Linked DNA regions of Yarrowia lipolytica. The protein of the gene in region 3 interacts with the protein of the main gene of each other region in a pairwise test. Links are inferred from orthologs where the notes say so. Each region holds a gene or a part of one and is shown on either strand. Other genes may lie near its edges.

The links.
Region 1: the proteins of YALI1_E34525g (region 3) and YALI1_F04643g interact in a two-hybrid assay, tested with the Schizosaccharomyces pombe proteins (2 studies listed by BioGRID). The link is inferred for Yarrowia lipolytica from reciprocal best matches to the Schizosaccharomyces pombe genes sec18 and rcd1.
Region 2: the proteins of YALI1_E34525g (region 3) and YALI1_B06839g interact in a two-hybrid assay, tested with the Schizosaccharomyces pombe proteins (2 studies listed by BioGRID). The link is inferred for Yarrowia lipolytica from reciprocal best matches to the Schizosaccharomyces pombe genes sec18 and isu1.

The regions. Positions count from the first base shown.
Region 1 is NC_090775.1:461,661-466,589, reverse strand, and holds YALI1_F04643g (uncharacterized protein), read right to left. Parts: upstream 2,237-4,929; coding exon 1,280-2,236; downstream 1-1,279. Other genes in the region: YALI1_F04690g (uncharacterized protein), read left to right, coding at 1-574; YALI1_F04655g (uncharacterized protein), read left to right, coding at 948-953, 1,006-1,212; YALI1_F04626g (uncharacterized protein), read left to right, coding at 3,946-4,929. UniProt on the Schizosaccharomyces pombe protein: A differentiation-controlling factor that is essential for the onset of sexual development. Induces ste11 when sexual development is invoked through nitrogen starvation.
Region 2 is NC_090771.1:681,473-685,879, forward strand, and holds YALI1_B06839g (uncharacterized protein), read left to right. Parts: upstream 1-2,460; coding exon 2,461-3,006; downstream 3,007-4,407. Other genes in the region: YALI1_B06847g (uncharacterized protein), read left to right, coding at 3,320-3,979. UniProt on the Schizosaccharomyces pombe protein: Scaffold protein for the de novo synthesis of iron-sulfur (Fe-S) clusters within mitochondria, which is required for maturation of both mitochondrial and cytoplasmic [2Fe-2S] and [4Fe-4S] proteins.
Region 3 is NC_090774.1:3,450,086-3,456,556, forward strand, and holds YALI1_E34525g (uncharacterized protein), read left to right. Parts: upstream 1-2,433; coding exon 2,434-4,863; downstream 4,864-6,471. Other genes in the region: YALI1_E34494g (uncharacterized protein), read left to right, coding at 1-596; YALI1_E34513g (uncharacterized protein), read right to left, coding at 873-1,256. UniProt on the Schizosaccharomyces pombe protein: Required for vesicle-mediated transport. Catalyzes the fusion of transport vesicles within the Golgi cisternae. Is also required for transport from the endoplasmic reticulum to the Golgi stack.

The DNA.
Region 1 (4,929 bases), on a different chromosome or scaffold from region 3:
GACCATCTGGGCGTCCAACGTGTTCCGCGAGTTTCCGGCCAATACGATTGTGCATTCCAAGCGTGACCAGAACGGCTACTTTAACTGTCCCAGTGAATACTGCACGTTCATCACGCGGATCCCGTCGTACTGGCATGACCACATTCACAATGTTGCTCACCAGGGCATTGATCCGCAGACGTCGAAACGGAAGCGCAAGCCCAAGATTCTGTCGACACCCCATCCCGGGGCGATTGGTAACGGTGGTGCAGGTGTGGGGCCTGTGAGCGGCGAGGGCGAGCGGCAGGAGCGGGCCCAGCAGGCGGCCCAACGACAGCAGCAGCAGGCGGCCCAGCAACAACAACAACAACAGCAGCAGCAGCAACAGCAGCAGCAGCAGCAGCAGGAGAGTCAGAGCCAGCAGCAGGGTAAGCCCGCGCAGGGTCACACACAGCAGCAGGCTCAGACACACCAGGGCCAGCAGCAGCAGACCCACGCACAACCCCACGCACAGCCCCATACTCAGCATACGGGGGCCCAGCAGATACAGCAGCACCACGTGCATCAACTTCCGCATCAACCTCATTCCTTGTAAACAATGTATTTATGATTGACTAGACTTTCTAGAGCGAGCTGCTATGACAGCGAGGCTCAGACAGTGCCGGTGTATTGTATCCCAGCACTTGGGCCCTCGTTACATCCCTTTGACTCAGAAGTAGCTACTTCTTTCTGTACAATTACATACTTATATAAGCAAGAAAAGCATTATAACATCATTAGTCATACATTCTATTTGACTACGACTAACCCTAGCTACGTGTTGGTTCGACTACTTCGTGTTCAGTGACTTGACGTTCCGGTGATAACGTAGCTGTCACGTAGGAGCTCCTTTTAGAGAGATGGTAGCTCTCTCGCTGAAAGCGCAAGGATGAGTTATTTAGATGGACATATCTGTCTATCATGGAAATATGTCTGTCTGATTTCAATCAGATGCCACGGTTCACGGGCCTTGTCTAGTGTAGATAGATAATATATTTTTACATGCTGTGGCGTTGTACCGTACGTACGGGCCACTCCCAGCTCCCCTTAGGGTCACCACCTGTTCCAGGTGACCTATTATGCGATTTGTTGGTCTTCGATGATGCAGTAAGCTCGCGGTTCATGAACCGGGTTGCTGAGTGGTATTCAACTGCTCTATGGGTCAGCTTTGACACCTGTAGTCGTGGTCACTAGTCGCAGCACGATGTTCGTGGTAGGACTGTGAGTTCCGCTCACAAGTCGCAGCTGCACTGCTCGTTGTTCACTCGTAACTATCACTCAAGTTGATCAACAGCTGCGCGAGACATCTCTTGGTTGCGGCATCGTCTCTCAGAGCCTGGCTGAAGGTAGCATCTCTCAGCGGCTCGGGCAGACTCTGTCTTAGTGCCTCTCTGGCTCTGGCGTTGTCACTCAGTCTGAGATAACATCTGACCACGTGTTTCAACAGTCGGGAGGCCGGTTGTGAAATCAGCTGCTGGACCATGTTGGCGAGCACCTGCGACACCGCGGTGAACCGCTCGAACGTCTGGCACACGTAGTTGAGGCCCATGTCGTCCATGAGGATTTTTTGGACGATGAAAATCGCCACTGTTTTCGACAGCTCGGTGCCACTCTCCATGATTCGAAGGCACAGGGGAATGATTTCGGTGGACAGCAAGAACGAAATGACCTCGGGCGAGTCGTTCTTGACGAGCGCGCCAATCACGCCCAGCGATGTCAGCCGCAGGTACTCAAACGACCGCGACTTGACGGTGGTGTTGAGAAAGGGATACAGAAAGAGCGGAATGTGGGCCACAAGGAAGGGGGTTCGGGTGTCGGCGTGTGAGGCGACGCATTGAAGAAGGGCCAGGGCATTGCATACCCGGTTGCTGGCGGCAGTGGACAGATTGGGAGGCGTCAGCAGGGAGTACACGTTCATAATCTCCTGCAGCAGAGTGCTCATGACTCCAAACGAGTGCCATAGGATGAGGGCGAGATCCTCGTACTGCTCTCGTTTCTTTCCGAGCTCGAGTAGAGCCTGCTCGCGACCCTCGCCGTGCATCAGCTCGACGATCCACGAATATAGCTTGTCGTCTTCTGCCGTCAGCTTCAACGGCATGACGTTGGGGTCGTTGGAGTTGGCCGGTGCCATGCCGCTGGGTGCCATCTGGGGCATATTGGGCGGCGGCTGGTTCATCTGGCCACCCATATATTGCTGCTGGGGAGGTTGCTGGTACATGGCGGACTGTGGTGGAGGTGTGATCTGGACAGTTTTCTGGGTTATGGATTTGATGTGGTGAGTGGTGAGTCGAAGGTTGGTGGAGGGTTTGTGGACGTGGGTTCGACTCCAGATGGGGACGGTGGCCGAATATGTCAATATAGCGTTTTCAGTGATCGAGCTGAGTCGGGGATATATATTTCAACAATTGGTATGTGGACGATAATTTACCAGCTTCCTATCGCGTCATTATTCGAAGTCATCATAGCCTACTAGCATCACGCTATTACTTGGTCGCATTAGTTGAGTATAGTTGACTAACTGAGAGACATGTCATAACCAGTGTCAAGGATGCTACAGGTGCGGGATTTCCGGTACTTGTGTGTTTTTGGAGGGGGTCCTGTGCTCTCCTTGGTCATTTGTGGTCGATTGATCCTGTTTGTATATTCCTGTGTCAATACAGCCGCCGCTGTCATCCTCCATCCTGAGTATATAGACATCCTACTTAGCCGTTCTAAACAATAGTTGTAGCCACCAGGGTGCATACGACCTTATTCAAAAAAGAGAAAAAAAAAATTAGAAAAAAAAGGAAAAAAAAAAAAAGGTCCTGAAATTCGACTCCTGCATGTGATAAGCCCAAAAAGCAATTCAGACGACAAGGGAGGATACTGCCTGATATACACAACCGCAACCAACTCGACATTTACCCCACGATATATCGAACAAGGGTCGAGCAGTGCACCATCTTCCCTATGAGTCCGTTGCTATCTGCAGGTATATACTTGCTACTTTTCTTTAGACTCCCGCGGGCTTAAAAAAAGAAAAAAAAGAAAAAATGAATAAATAAAAGTATAAAATAAAAAACAAAATAAATTAATTACTTGTACGTGAAGGCGGAGTCAGTGTCTACTAGGTGCAGTATTTTTGCCACCTACACGTGACTAGACACGCAAAAATAAGAACATAACCTCTCCCCTCAAATCCACGTCTTCTTTGGACTCAGTCCCCTATTACTGCGACTCGTGCAAATCTGATAACATGCATCTCAACCATTTACCGCACTCGGAGGTTTAATTGATCAGTTTGAATGGGCTGGACATACAACGAGTCGTGGAGTCGAACGAGGAGGCGGAGAAAGACGACAACAAAACCACAGACACAGGGAAATCTCCAGGACCACCATGATATACTCAAAATCCCCGTAGCCCCCCCACACCATCGGCAAATCAACAATCAAGTTTTCCTCCGCATCTGGAAGTCACAACTGTATTTTTCAGTGAGATTTTTCTTGGGTCGAGTTGGTGGCTTATGGAGACATCTGGCAGGGCTCGAATTACAATGAGATAGAAGCCAAAATCGCCAATATATAGGCCTACAAGTTGTTCCTCCATATCTACAGACCCCAATTCACCATTTATCAACATGTAATAACACCCACGCGACTCCCCTGTCAAGGTTCAGAGTACCAAGCAAATGTTTTTGGACGTCTGTAAATCGGCAAGTAGTGGATGGAATGAAATGGTGGAAAATGGAAACCGGAGAAGAAACATACAGCTTTAAATCAACTTTTCCTTATCGGGGTCATCTTCTCAAGAAGTCCTTGTTGATTGTACCCTACCAGACTCATTTCCGACCCGTGAACTCTATCACGAAACACTATAACGCGCTACAGTAATACCTTACCGAGTAGCTACTGTAAACCACTTGAACACCTGGACCGGCTACCACAAATGTCTTCTCTACAGCCGTTTTCGGTGGACAACACCTGGAGTCACGTGGTTTCAAAGCGCACGGGCGACAAGCGCGAGTACGGCGGCGACAACTTGTCATCTGAGTCGTCAAATTTCCTGCCAACCGATCAGACAGACAAACAACCCTCGAGTCCAGGAGGCAGTCTATGGTCCGACAGAGAGGGCTGGAGCTCGCAGTTCGACCTGCCGTCGAGTCCGGTCCGAAAAAAGCGGTTTCTGGGCGGCATTCAGTTCACTGAAAGAAGCAAGAACAAGGAGGAGGAAGGCGGAGACGAGGAGGGCGAAGGGGAGTCAGAAAGCCATATCGTGAGTCTCCAGAGCAATGGAACGGTCACGGAAGATAAACCAGAGGCCACCGTGGCCAAGCTGGAGAGACAGAGTGCGGCCGAAAGCTCTTCTACTCCCGTTCGAACAGCTTCACGTCCGTCTCTACTTGCTCCCACGACTCCTTACAGAAACTACACCCGGAGCCTTAACTCGTTCAACTCGTTCAACTCGTACAACTCTCTTGGTTCGTTTGGCGAAACCGGGGCAGGAATAGCTGCTGAAGTTGCCAGTCCTGAAAAACGTCATAAACCCGCGCCTGTGGACACCACTCTTCCTCCTGCTCAGTACCTTCTTCAGTGTGCTGACAAGGAGGCCGAAAACATTGATCTCATGTTTCGCAACCTTGACAAACTCCCCAAGGAGTTTAGCGAGCTCAAAAATGTGGTTAAGACCAACAACAGCCCCTGTACGGCATCTCTGGCCATGTCCTACAAGGTCATGTTGTCTCAGAACAGACTGACAGATTTGCCACCTCAATTGTTTGACGGGATTAATATTGTGAATCTGTCCGTCTTCAACAACTGCCTGGAGTCGGTTCCGCCTCGAATCAGAGACCTCACCAACCTCGACACGCTCAACGTGAGTGGAAACGTCAACCTCAAGTACTTGCCGTCCGACATTCAGAAGCTCAAGAAG
Region 2 (4,407 bases), on a different chromosome or scaffold from region 3:
AAAAGCAGAATAAACCTCGCATCCGTGTGGGGTATGGTGTTAAATGGATTCATGTGAGGGACGGAGAGCAGGTCAAAGTTCGTCATACCAAATGAGACCATCATTATTGCGGGTATTTTTGTTCTTCGATCAAGTTTTGACGAGTATGACAACATCTTGTCTTCTTGTAGCTCGTGCTTTGAAGTCGTGTCATGGTACTCTTACTCGGACTATTTGGAGTTCTCAGTCATGTACAAGTACAAGTACAGAGTACAGTACATAGAGTACATACAGTAGTTCGCTGTCCTGTGGAGTTTGTAGATTGACATTATGACTTCGATCAGACCCCAACTGGAACTTGGTGCACGATTCCAAGGTAGCGCTACATCTGAACACCTGATCTTAGATCGTCTACTTGTATCGTAAATTGAGTGACTGGCTGACTCCGAGAGGGGTATCGTGTGAAGTGTCCCACGTACCATTGCTCGCCTATCGATACAGGATAGGCTTGTACAACTAGTCCTCGAACTCGTAGTACTACTGCTGCTTTCCTTCCGCAATAGTCAAACCGCACACAATGTTCTCCGAGACACCTCAACAGACGTCTTGTGATCTGCCCGTTCAGTTGGTGCGTTACCTGTGACAAAACCATGGTCCAGCATACAGAGACATCCAACCAGTGATTGTAGCAGAGTTTGAAACACGCACTTCTTCCCTCTCTCTCGAGATATACTTTCATACAAGCCTTGATTTCGATGAGATTCTGAGTTCAATACAGCTTCTGAGGGATCCATATTGCTCACAAAATTAATTAGCAACCGAAGATAGGTCAACAAACCGCGGTTAGGGTTCGGACACCCCCCCACCCTTAGTCAGAAGCTTATGTTGAGAGCAAGTTCGAGTTCAGTACTCGTACTTGAGACATAGCAAAGCAATTCTGGTCATGTGACTGCAAAAAAAACAGTTGTACTTGTAGTTGCGGGTGAGGGCCCGATCTGACTGGCCAATGTTTACCCTACCGAGCAACCCCACACATATTAATAATATACGAAGCTTTTAGGTTATCTGAGCACTGAGTTCACAGTCTCAAATAAGGTTGTGGAAGTGCACGGAAAAGTGCACCTAAGGAGGTGTTAAAGAAGCCAATTGTGGGTTTTCAAGGAGAAAATCGGTTCTGAATGGCCCCCAAATACCCCCTGTCTCCTTTTTCCGCGCGATTTTGACCCATTTCCCTGGATTTTCAGGTGGCAAATTTGTAAAACGCTTTTATCGGCTCTGCAGATGCAGTGTTCCAAACTCCCAACTGAAACAGACCTGGCTTTATCGCTGTTCTTAGAAATACTAGCCTTCTATTGGCCAATGAAACACGAGCGTGACAAGTCCATAAGTGTCCGTAGAGCGGGTAATTGCGGTCAATAGTTGGAGTTTGCACCCCGGAAGTCACGTGATGCCCCCCCATCCCCGGTCATTCTCCCCCAAGACTCCTTGCAATCTGGCATGGTGTACATGTTTCCTGGATTATTTTTGACATTTTTGGTTGCCTTGCATTTCCACTTTTGGGGGCGAAGGGCTAATAGGCATTTTTTGACATTTTCGACGAAACAGGCTTTTGACCAGTGAGCATTTTGTGCGGGATGTTTAGCGTCCATCGGTGTATTTTTGGATACCAATGGCTAGCCTGCGGTGAGGAGGGTCCGATTCCGTCATAAAACTGGTCACGTGCAGTAATGATTTTTGTTGTTTTGGGTGATTTGTAATGGTTTCCATGGCCTTCGGACTTGTCTGCTGCAAATTGACGTTTCGTTTTTTTTTGGAGCCGACAAAGTTTGGATTTTCGGGAGCTGGTTCAGGGATGGAATACGCGACATAGGGGCTAATGGGACGTGTGACGAGGCGTTACTTCGGCAGTTCCGAGTTTGGAGGGGCGACCTGTGTGTTTTTTGAGCCGCAAAACCATCGCTTTTACCGTATTTCGGCTTTCCGGAATCTGAGCGGACGCATCCCTCGTCTCGCTGTGCAATTATGTGGTGCATGCTGCAGGTGCATGTTTGGGGACATTGCAGGGTGGTGGGGGGGAGAGGGTTTGGGAAGCGGAATGGAGGCAGATTGAGAGCGGTTGTTGCTCTGTGGCACTTTGGGCAGCGCCAATCGACCGTCTCATAGGGGGGTTTGGATGGAGCCCAACTTTGGGGAGGGAGATTTCTCGCTTGCCGTTCCGACTTAAACTCTAAATATGAGTCCGAAGTCGCAAAACCAGACTGAATAAGGTTTATGTGGTTCTTTGTTTGAGGGGGTTACCCGGCCGGAGCTTATGCGCTTATCAGATTTGGATTTGGGTCCCAATTCATGTGATGCGCCCAATCAGATAGGTATATAGTCTCAAGCACTTCCTCCTAGAACGCCAGACGAAAATCTCAGTGGAACCCGACATTTAAGACGAGCCCACACTAAAAACTCACGCACAAACACACACAAGCGAAAATGATGTTCAACAGAATTACCCGATCTGCCGGTCTGCTCGCTCGAGCCCGACCCACCACCACCGCCGTCATGTCTCCCATGACCCCTCTTGCCATCTCTCGACGAGGCTACCACGAGAAGGTGCTGGACCACTACAACAACCCCCGAAACGTGGGATCCATGAACAAGAATGACGAGGACGTCGGAACTGGTCTGGTTGGAGCCCCCGCCTGTGGCGATGTCATGAAGCTGCAGATTCGAGTGGACGACAACGGAGTCATCCAGGACGTCAAGTTCAAGACCTTTGGCTGTGGCAGTGCCATTGCCTCCTCTTCCTACGTGACTGAGCTTGTTCGAGGCAAGTCTCTGGCTGAGGCTGGCAAGATCAAGAACACCGTCATTGCCAAGGAGCTGTCTCTTCCCCCCGTCAAACTGCATTGCTCCATGCTGGCTGAGGACGCCATCAAGTCTGCCATCAGCGATTACAACAGCAAGCGAAAGACCAAGAACCCCACTCTTGGTGCCGAGGCTGCAGAGACTCCTGCTGCCGCCACTGCCACTGCCTAAGTGTAGTGCGGGACCGGTACGAAATGATGAATAACGGAGGATGGGCTTGAGAATCTCGAAAAGCCAAAAAAATATTGGTGGCAAACAATGCGCGGAAAGCATTTGAATTATGACGAGTATGAATGATGGAGATATAGCAATAGTATTTATTTATATGTGATGAGCATGTGAGAACCCAAACCCACATTCCAGGAAAGCTAGAAGCTTATTTTAGCTCTACCATTGCACCCACTAAATAGTATTGCTTCACCACCCCCAAAACACAACTTAACACCACCACCACACGTTACTCACACTAACCACAAACACGACCATGGTTTCTCTTCCGTTCCGACGAGCATCCAAGGCCGAGGCCAACTCGTCCGCGCCCGCTCCCTACTACAAGTACGACCGAGGAGAAGATGCCGAGCAGGAGCAGAACCAGGACCCCAATGCTCCTCCCTCGCCCAACAACAGACGTCAGAGCAAAGCGCAGGATGTCAGTGACCCCATTCTGTCTGCGATTCACGACGCCCAGCCGTTCGAGCAGTCGTACAACCATCAAGGCGTCCACCAGAGTCTGTCGCCAGACATGCAGCTCCGAGATACTTTTGGAGCTCCCATCAGTGACCCCGACCGGTCCAACCCTACCCGTCCTCGAAACGAGCGACCTCTTGACACAATCCGAACGTTTGAGTACCTGACGACCGGAGACGAAAGAGTGCGAGAGGAGATGGAGACGGGATCTCTGGGCTTTGTGCCCCGACAGGGCTTCACCGTGCCCCAATTTGACACAAACCCCTACGCCCCCCAGGAAGGCTCAAGCAATGGCCCCGAGGGTGGAAACGTCATTTCTTTTGCTGGCAACGGCGAGAGCGCAGAATTCAACTACATCCGAGACCCTCCTCCCGTGACCAAGGAGAAGAAGAAGCGAGGTCTGTTTGGCCGAAAGAAGAAGGAGAAGCCCATTACCGTCGGACAGTTGGAGGAGTAGAAGGACTTTGGATTCGGTCCAGGTTGATGACAGAGCACTAGTTATACCGAGTGCCATGTAATGAGGGTTACAGGGTTGACCCTGATAGTGAATGTATTGTTTGTATATATTGTACTTGTACATACAATCCACGATGGGGCGCGTTCACGGAAAGAAAATTATTATTATTATTATTATTATTATTATTATTATTTATTGGCGTTAGCGCAGTGTTGATGTTGATGTTTCTCTGGATGGCGCTACAGTAGGTACACTGCTCGGGTACATAGCCTTGAGAGAAGGACACAGTTACCTGATGTAATGCCTAAGCAAACCACCAGGGTTCATTACAATACTTGCTATTGGTATATATGTCTCATTTGACACGTTTTTGGCCCGCGCCATGACCCATTATTCGTCTTATACGCTTTTCTAATGTCGCGTTTTTC
Region 3 (6,471 bases):
ATCTTGCCCAGCTGATGGACCAGACTTACAACGAGGTGAACTCGGCCCGGCAGACCTGGCTGGCTGAGATGGAGTACCTGGTGCTTCTGGATCTGATCGGACACAAGGATACATACATCCCTTCATTCTTCAGAAACACTCACTGGCAGTACGAGGTGTTTGCTTCTCTGGAGCAGCGAATCCGGGATATCGGTCTAAGTGCACGTATGGATGAGAAGGAGACCATCTTCACCGAGGGAAAGCCCGCATTCTTTCGAGGAGCTGTTATTGGTGATGACCACCTCCCCTTTCTGCACCGAGGAGTGCCTGTTCTGCATTTGATCCCCAGCCATTTCCCCCCTGTCTGGCACAAGATTGACGACAACGCCAAGAATCTTCACTTTCCTGACATTTCCGAGTGGGGTCTATTGACGAGTAGTTTCGTCGCCAACCAGCTGCGAGTTGGAGACTGGATCGTGGACTATCCTGACGCCAACGAGATGCGAGAGCAGCGAGAGAAGGAGGAGAAGGCGCAGCGAGAACAGGCGCAAAAGAAGAAGATTCCCAACGGCAAGAAGGTCCCTCGAGCTGCTCGCCGACGAGGTGCTATGCTTTAGGAGACTGGGATTGAAGATGTATGTATTGATGCCTTGCAACAGATAGTACGTACCATGGATGAATGATATACCATTACATTAAATGAGAATGTGACTCGGAGCACTGTTTAAACAACTACCCAGCACCTATATAAACAATGCAGACATGCTCTATAAATGATATTAGTCTATGTGCTGTACAGTGTTAGTATGAAATGTGTAGTCGGTGCAAGGTGTAGTCGGTGAAGTGTGTAGATGTGTGTAGAAGGTGGTAATTGCAGCTTGAAATAACCTCGTTCACCTGCTGGTAGGATCAACTTTGGCGTGTTTGAAGAATTTGAGACCCATCCAACTGACGATACACCAGACCCAAGCCATGACGAGGGACAGGAAGAAGGACGTTGGATAGTACATTCTGATGGGGAAGTCGTCGTCATCATCAGGAGCCTTGTGCATATTTTTGCGGTCTGTCTTCGATCCAAACAAGTAGATATCTAGATCAAACATCGTGAAGACTGCGAAGAAGATCAGAGACCATGTTGTGATGAGTAGGATCCATCCCCAAGATGCGATTTCGCTGTATTCGGTGAGTTTTCGTTGTGTGCGGTTGAGAGACACCAGAGACCCGGGATGGTAGGCCACAGGCACGTGGTGCGATGCAGATCGAGGTCGTTTGGCCATGGTTCGGGACCTCAGCTGATATCACGTTACGTGAATAGTTGGCGCATACAGATGTCTAAGTTCAGGCTCCTTGGGAGATATTTGTTGATTAAAGTACGAGCAGTACTGTGGGTTGGAGGGTTTGGACCAGAACGATGTGTTTCCTGTTTTCGGTTAGAATGATGACGAGAGTAGTCGGAATTGAATACGGAAAAGTTGAATAAAAGTGTACTGTAGAGCAATGTTAGTAATCCCAATCGACTATCAATATCCCCATATTGCAGTATATATAGACCCTTTAGCACCTCTGAGTAAGGTTCCGCGTTAATGGAATGGCGTTACGTTATTATGGAGATAGAGAGGCTGGAGACTCAGAAGTAGCGGCCGTTAAGCGAACCCATGACGTCGCTACAAGTAGCAGGAAATGAGGATATTTAAAGGGGTTGATCTAAGAATATCGGAGGGCAGATTGAGCACGTTGAAAAGATCTTTCTCCTCCATCTCAAACACCATATTTCCTACAGTATACAGTTATTCGACTATGTGTGGAAGCCTTGAATTGTAATTCAATGTGTTTTTAGTTTTGGTCAAACAATGTCAGCAGACTCTGGTCGAGAGGCTGTAGTTATGGGAACTGCGCTTCTTCTATACAAGTATGTAAACGGCTGAAAGTGCATCAGAGTTGGAGGTTGCCTCCAAAGTAGCCCACCACTCTGTAAATAATCACTCAGCTCTTTCCATATTGGCTGGTGGTGTCGGAGCGCCTGTCTATCTTATGGTGTTTTGTTATTAATCCGGCGTTCGTGAAACTCGAACTGGGACGCCATACTTGTTATAGTACTTATAACAGCTACAAGTAGTTAGACTGGTAAGGTGGTAACCAACTTTCGTACTCGGGGCCCACGGTGTGACTCTCCTGTGTTGCAATAAATAAGTAAAAGCCACATACAGTACCTATAGCCACGGCTCCGGCGAGCAATACTGTAATCCACTTAGTCGAAGCCAGGCATTAATGCAAATCCAATTGTTCTTAGACGTTCTCTGATCTGCTGTTACTTATAACGCTAGACTTGCACTATTTGTCTTGTCCCAACTCCCATTCTTCACTCTCCCAACATCACTAAGACCGCATCGTCCTGCATCCACGTGATACGACCACGTACATCTCACACTCTCTTGTCGCAACCCAATTCCCCTCATGTTCGGTTTTGGCAAAAAGGACAATCAGAATCCATACCGGGTTCCTGAACAACACTCTCCTACTCACTCCGGATCCAATTCCCCCCGAACAATGAACAACCCTGGTCTTCCTAGACGGGCACCTACTCAGGGACAGCCCATGCCTCCTCATCACCAGACCCCTCCTCCTCAGCAGCACAGACAACCTCCTTCCGGTCACGGTGGCGATATGATTCTGGGAGTGGGCAAGGACAAGGCGTTTGCCCTGGCCAACCTCCTCGAAGTGCCCCCTGGAACCTTTGCTGACGGAGACTACGTCATTATCAACAACCAGCACGTCTTCACCGTGCGACAGTCGCCACATGCTGCTCCCGGCCAGATCCTTGCCGGAGCAGTGCAGCGACGATGGGCAGCTCTCAGCACAAACATGACTGTCCATGTGGCACCTTACGACCCCTTCCACAAGACACAGCAGGTGTATCTGGGCAACCTGGAGCTGGAAATCGACTTCCTGTCTGCCAGTGCGGCCAGCGGAGCTGGATCCCGATCCTTTGAGCCCGAAAAGCTCGCTCACCACTTCCTGCACCAGTACGCTAACCAGATCTTCACCCCTGGACAGACCCTGGCTATGGACTTCGAGGGCCTCAATTTCCAGATCAGAGTGCTCTCTACCTCGGTGGTCAATCTGGGAGACGCTGGCGGAGTGGCTGCCCGAAACGTCCGAGGTATTCTCGTTCGACACACCGATATCGGTTTCAACAAGGCCAAGGGATCGGCCATGAACCTCAAGAGCGCCAAGAACAAACCCCGACAGAACGCTATCATTCAGCCCGACTTCAAATTCCAGGATCTCGGTATTGGTGGTCTTGATGCCCAGTTTGGTAACATCTTCCGACGAGCCTTCGCTTCTCGAATCTACTCTCCTGCCGATGTCGAGGCCCTTGGTATCAACCACGTGAAGGGTATCTTGTTGTTCGGACCTCCCGGTACAGGTAAGACTCTAATCGCCCGACAAATTGGTAAGATGCTCAACGCTCGAGAACCCAAGATTGTCAACGGTCCCGAAATCCTAAACAAGTACGTTGGTGCTTCCGAAGAGAACATTCGAAACTTGTTCAAGGACGCCGAGGCGGAGTACCGAGAGAAGGGCGATGACTCCGGTCTTCACATCATCATTTTCGATGAGTTGGATGCTGTCTTCAAACAGCGAGGCTCCACCGGTGGAGGTACCGGTGTTGGAGACAACGTCGTCAACCAGCTGCTCGCTAAGATGGACGGTGTGGAGCAGCTCAATAACATTCTGGTTATCGGTATGACCAACCGAAAGGATCTGATTGATTCTGCTCTGATGCGACCTGGTCGATTCGAGGTCCAGATTGAGATTCCCCTTCCTGATGAGGCTGGCCGTCTGCAAATTCTCAAGATTCACACCGCGCCTATGACTGCTGCAGGAAAGTTGGGCAGAGATGTGGATCTTAACGAGCTTGCTGGAGAGACTAAGAACTACTCTGGTGCCGAAATTAAGGGTCTGCTTAACTCTGCTGCTTCTTATGCATTCACTCGAAACCTCAAGTTGGACCAAGGTGGAGGAGGCGTGCGACAGGAGAAGGGCGGAGAGCTCATGCTAATGCGGGACGACTTTGTGCATGCCCTCCAGGAAGTGCGTCCCGCGTTTGGTGTCTCCGAAGAGGATCTCGATGCTGCCGTCTCTGGTGGTATCATCAAGTACTCTCCCAACATTGATGACATTCTCAAGAAGGGAGAGCTATTTATTGAGCGAGTTCGACAGTCTTCTGGCGACCGTGCTCTGGCTTCTCTGCTGCTTCACGGCCCTGCTGGCTCTGGTAAGACTGCTCTCGCAGCTTCCATTGCCATGCAGTCGAACTTCCCCTTCGTGCGACTCATCTCTCCCGAAGGCTATGTTGGTATGTCCGAGGCATCTAAGATCACTGCCATTCAGAACTGTTTCCTGGATGCTTACAAGTCTCCTCTGTCCGTCATTGTGATTGACTCTATTGAGATCATTCTCGAGTGGGTCCAGATTGGACCCCGGTTCTCAAACTCTCTGCTGCAGGCCGTCAAGACTCTGTGTCGAAAGACTCCTCCCAAGGGCTGCCGATTGCTAATTCTGGTTACTACTCATGAGCGACACGTTCTTGAGCAGATGGATCTGATTTCCGCGTTTGACTCCGAGATTGGCGTACCTTACCTACAGTCTCTCAAGGAGCTCAACAAGGTACTGGACGCTATGCAGTTCTTGGACTCTCCCGAGGCTCGACACCGGGTTGTACAGTCCATCGAGGCCAAGACTGGATCTACCGTGCCTTCCATTGGTATCAAGACTCTGCTGTCTGGTCTCAAGACTGCCCAGTACTCTTCAGATGTTGAGGAGGAGTTTGTCGATTTTATGGTTGACCATATAAACGCCCGACGAAACAAGTATGTTTAACGAATCACGATTAGAATAGAATACATGAGATTGAAATGATGGGACAATGGCAGAGCGGAACGGATGCGCAAAACAAACTATCATGAACCAGTGATGGACACAAAACAACTGGTAGCAACCTGGGCAGTGTAGTGCAACAGGACGCGAGTGAACATGTAGGACGAGTTGCATTCACACGCATGCCATAGTTAACCACCGTAGCATTTTCAGCCCACACACGAGCTAACAGGTATCCCAAAACAGCTGTTAGGCGAAATAATAATTATCGTTGAGGGCAGAAACCAAATTAGCGACTACAAGTAGCACTCCGTAGGGTCTTCTGGGAAACAAGTGCAGTGACAGGGCTACTACGGTAGGTACAGTACACATCCTTTAGACTGGCACTATTCAAGCGGATATAACTGCACTTAAAGCACTTTGAGCGAAGTGGTGGTCTTATCGCCGTACAACACAGTATAGTACAGTATACAACCGTAGCGTACCTTGTGCATGTCTTCACTACAAGTAGATACTTACTCGTACTGGGCAATGGTATTTGGCCATCTGACGTCATGTTGGTCCCAGTCTTGTATTGTACTTCACATGCCATTGACTCAGTGACAGTTGCTCGTCTTCTTTGTATGTGAAGAGACTAGCAGTGACATAATATAACCCACATTCTTTTGGTTTAGATCATCTCTAGGGAAACAAAAATGGAAGGAGCTGCCCTAGCCGGTGTAGCGAGATCGTCATCACTGGAACCCCCCAAAATACCACCTCGTAAATAAAATTAAAGGTGGTAGGAGTTGGTTGCAGGGGAACATGAGTTCGGAATTTTCGGAGATTTTTGCAGTTACATTGAGCGTGGTATTGGATTGGGGTAGTAGCTCTTAGCTTGTAGTTGTTGCATGCTTTAGCGTGGACTTCAATCACCGAGTCTAACAGTCGCCGGACTGATTGTTCACCGACCTCCTGTACCTCGATCGGGTTGGGTAGGTTTCAGCGAGGGGGTGGTAGGGTGTGAAAAGCAAAAAGCTATGGGAGGGCGTTCTAGGATAGTACATGTAATTATAGATACTGTGTGGTTTTCTGCAATCGTGAACGTGTTTTATACGTCAACCATTTTATGCGTAACATGCGTTGGTTAGAAGGCCCAATGTGTCTGCCCATGTCAGAATGTCAAGTTTGATCCTGAGCTGTCAGAGTCCACTATGACAGTTGTTCTACGGACTGAGTGCCACAGACAAGGATCTGGGATCTCCAGAAAACACTGCATTCTTTCTAGGCCCCTCCTTCTTACAGCTCTGTCCAAATACAGCTCGAGGTCAAATATTACCAGCTAAATCAGACGTCAATGTTGCCTACGACGGCTTTGTTGACATCTGCTGAGCCCACGGCTATAATTTTGGCAGACGTGATGAGACGTGAGCCCAAGGGGGAGGGTGTGACATTGACATAGCCCACTAGCAGGTGGAGGGGATACGAATTTGGACGTCTGTTAAAGGTTCTCTGCACGAGATATTGAATAGGATCATCTTCCCTCATCTACTACCTGTCTCCCACGAATCGTAGAAGGTTCCGATCTGAATGTTCACCTGTCTAAAACGTTGGGCTTCCACGGATATAACC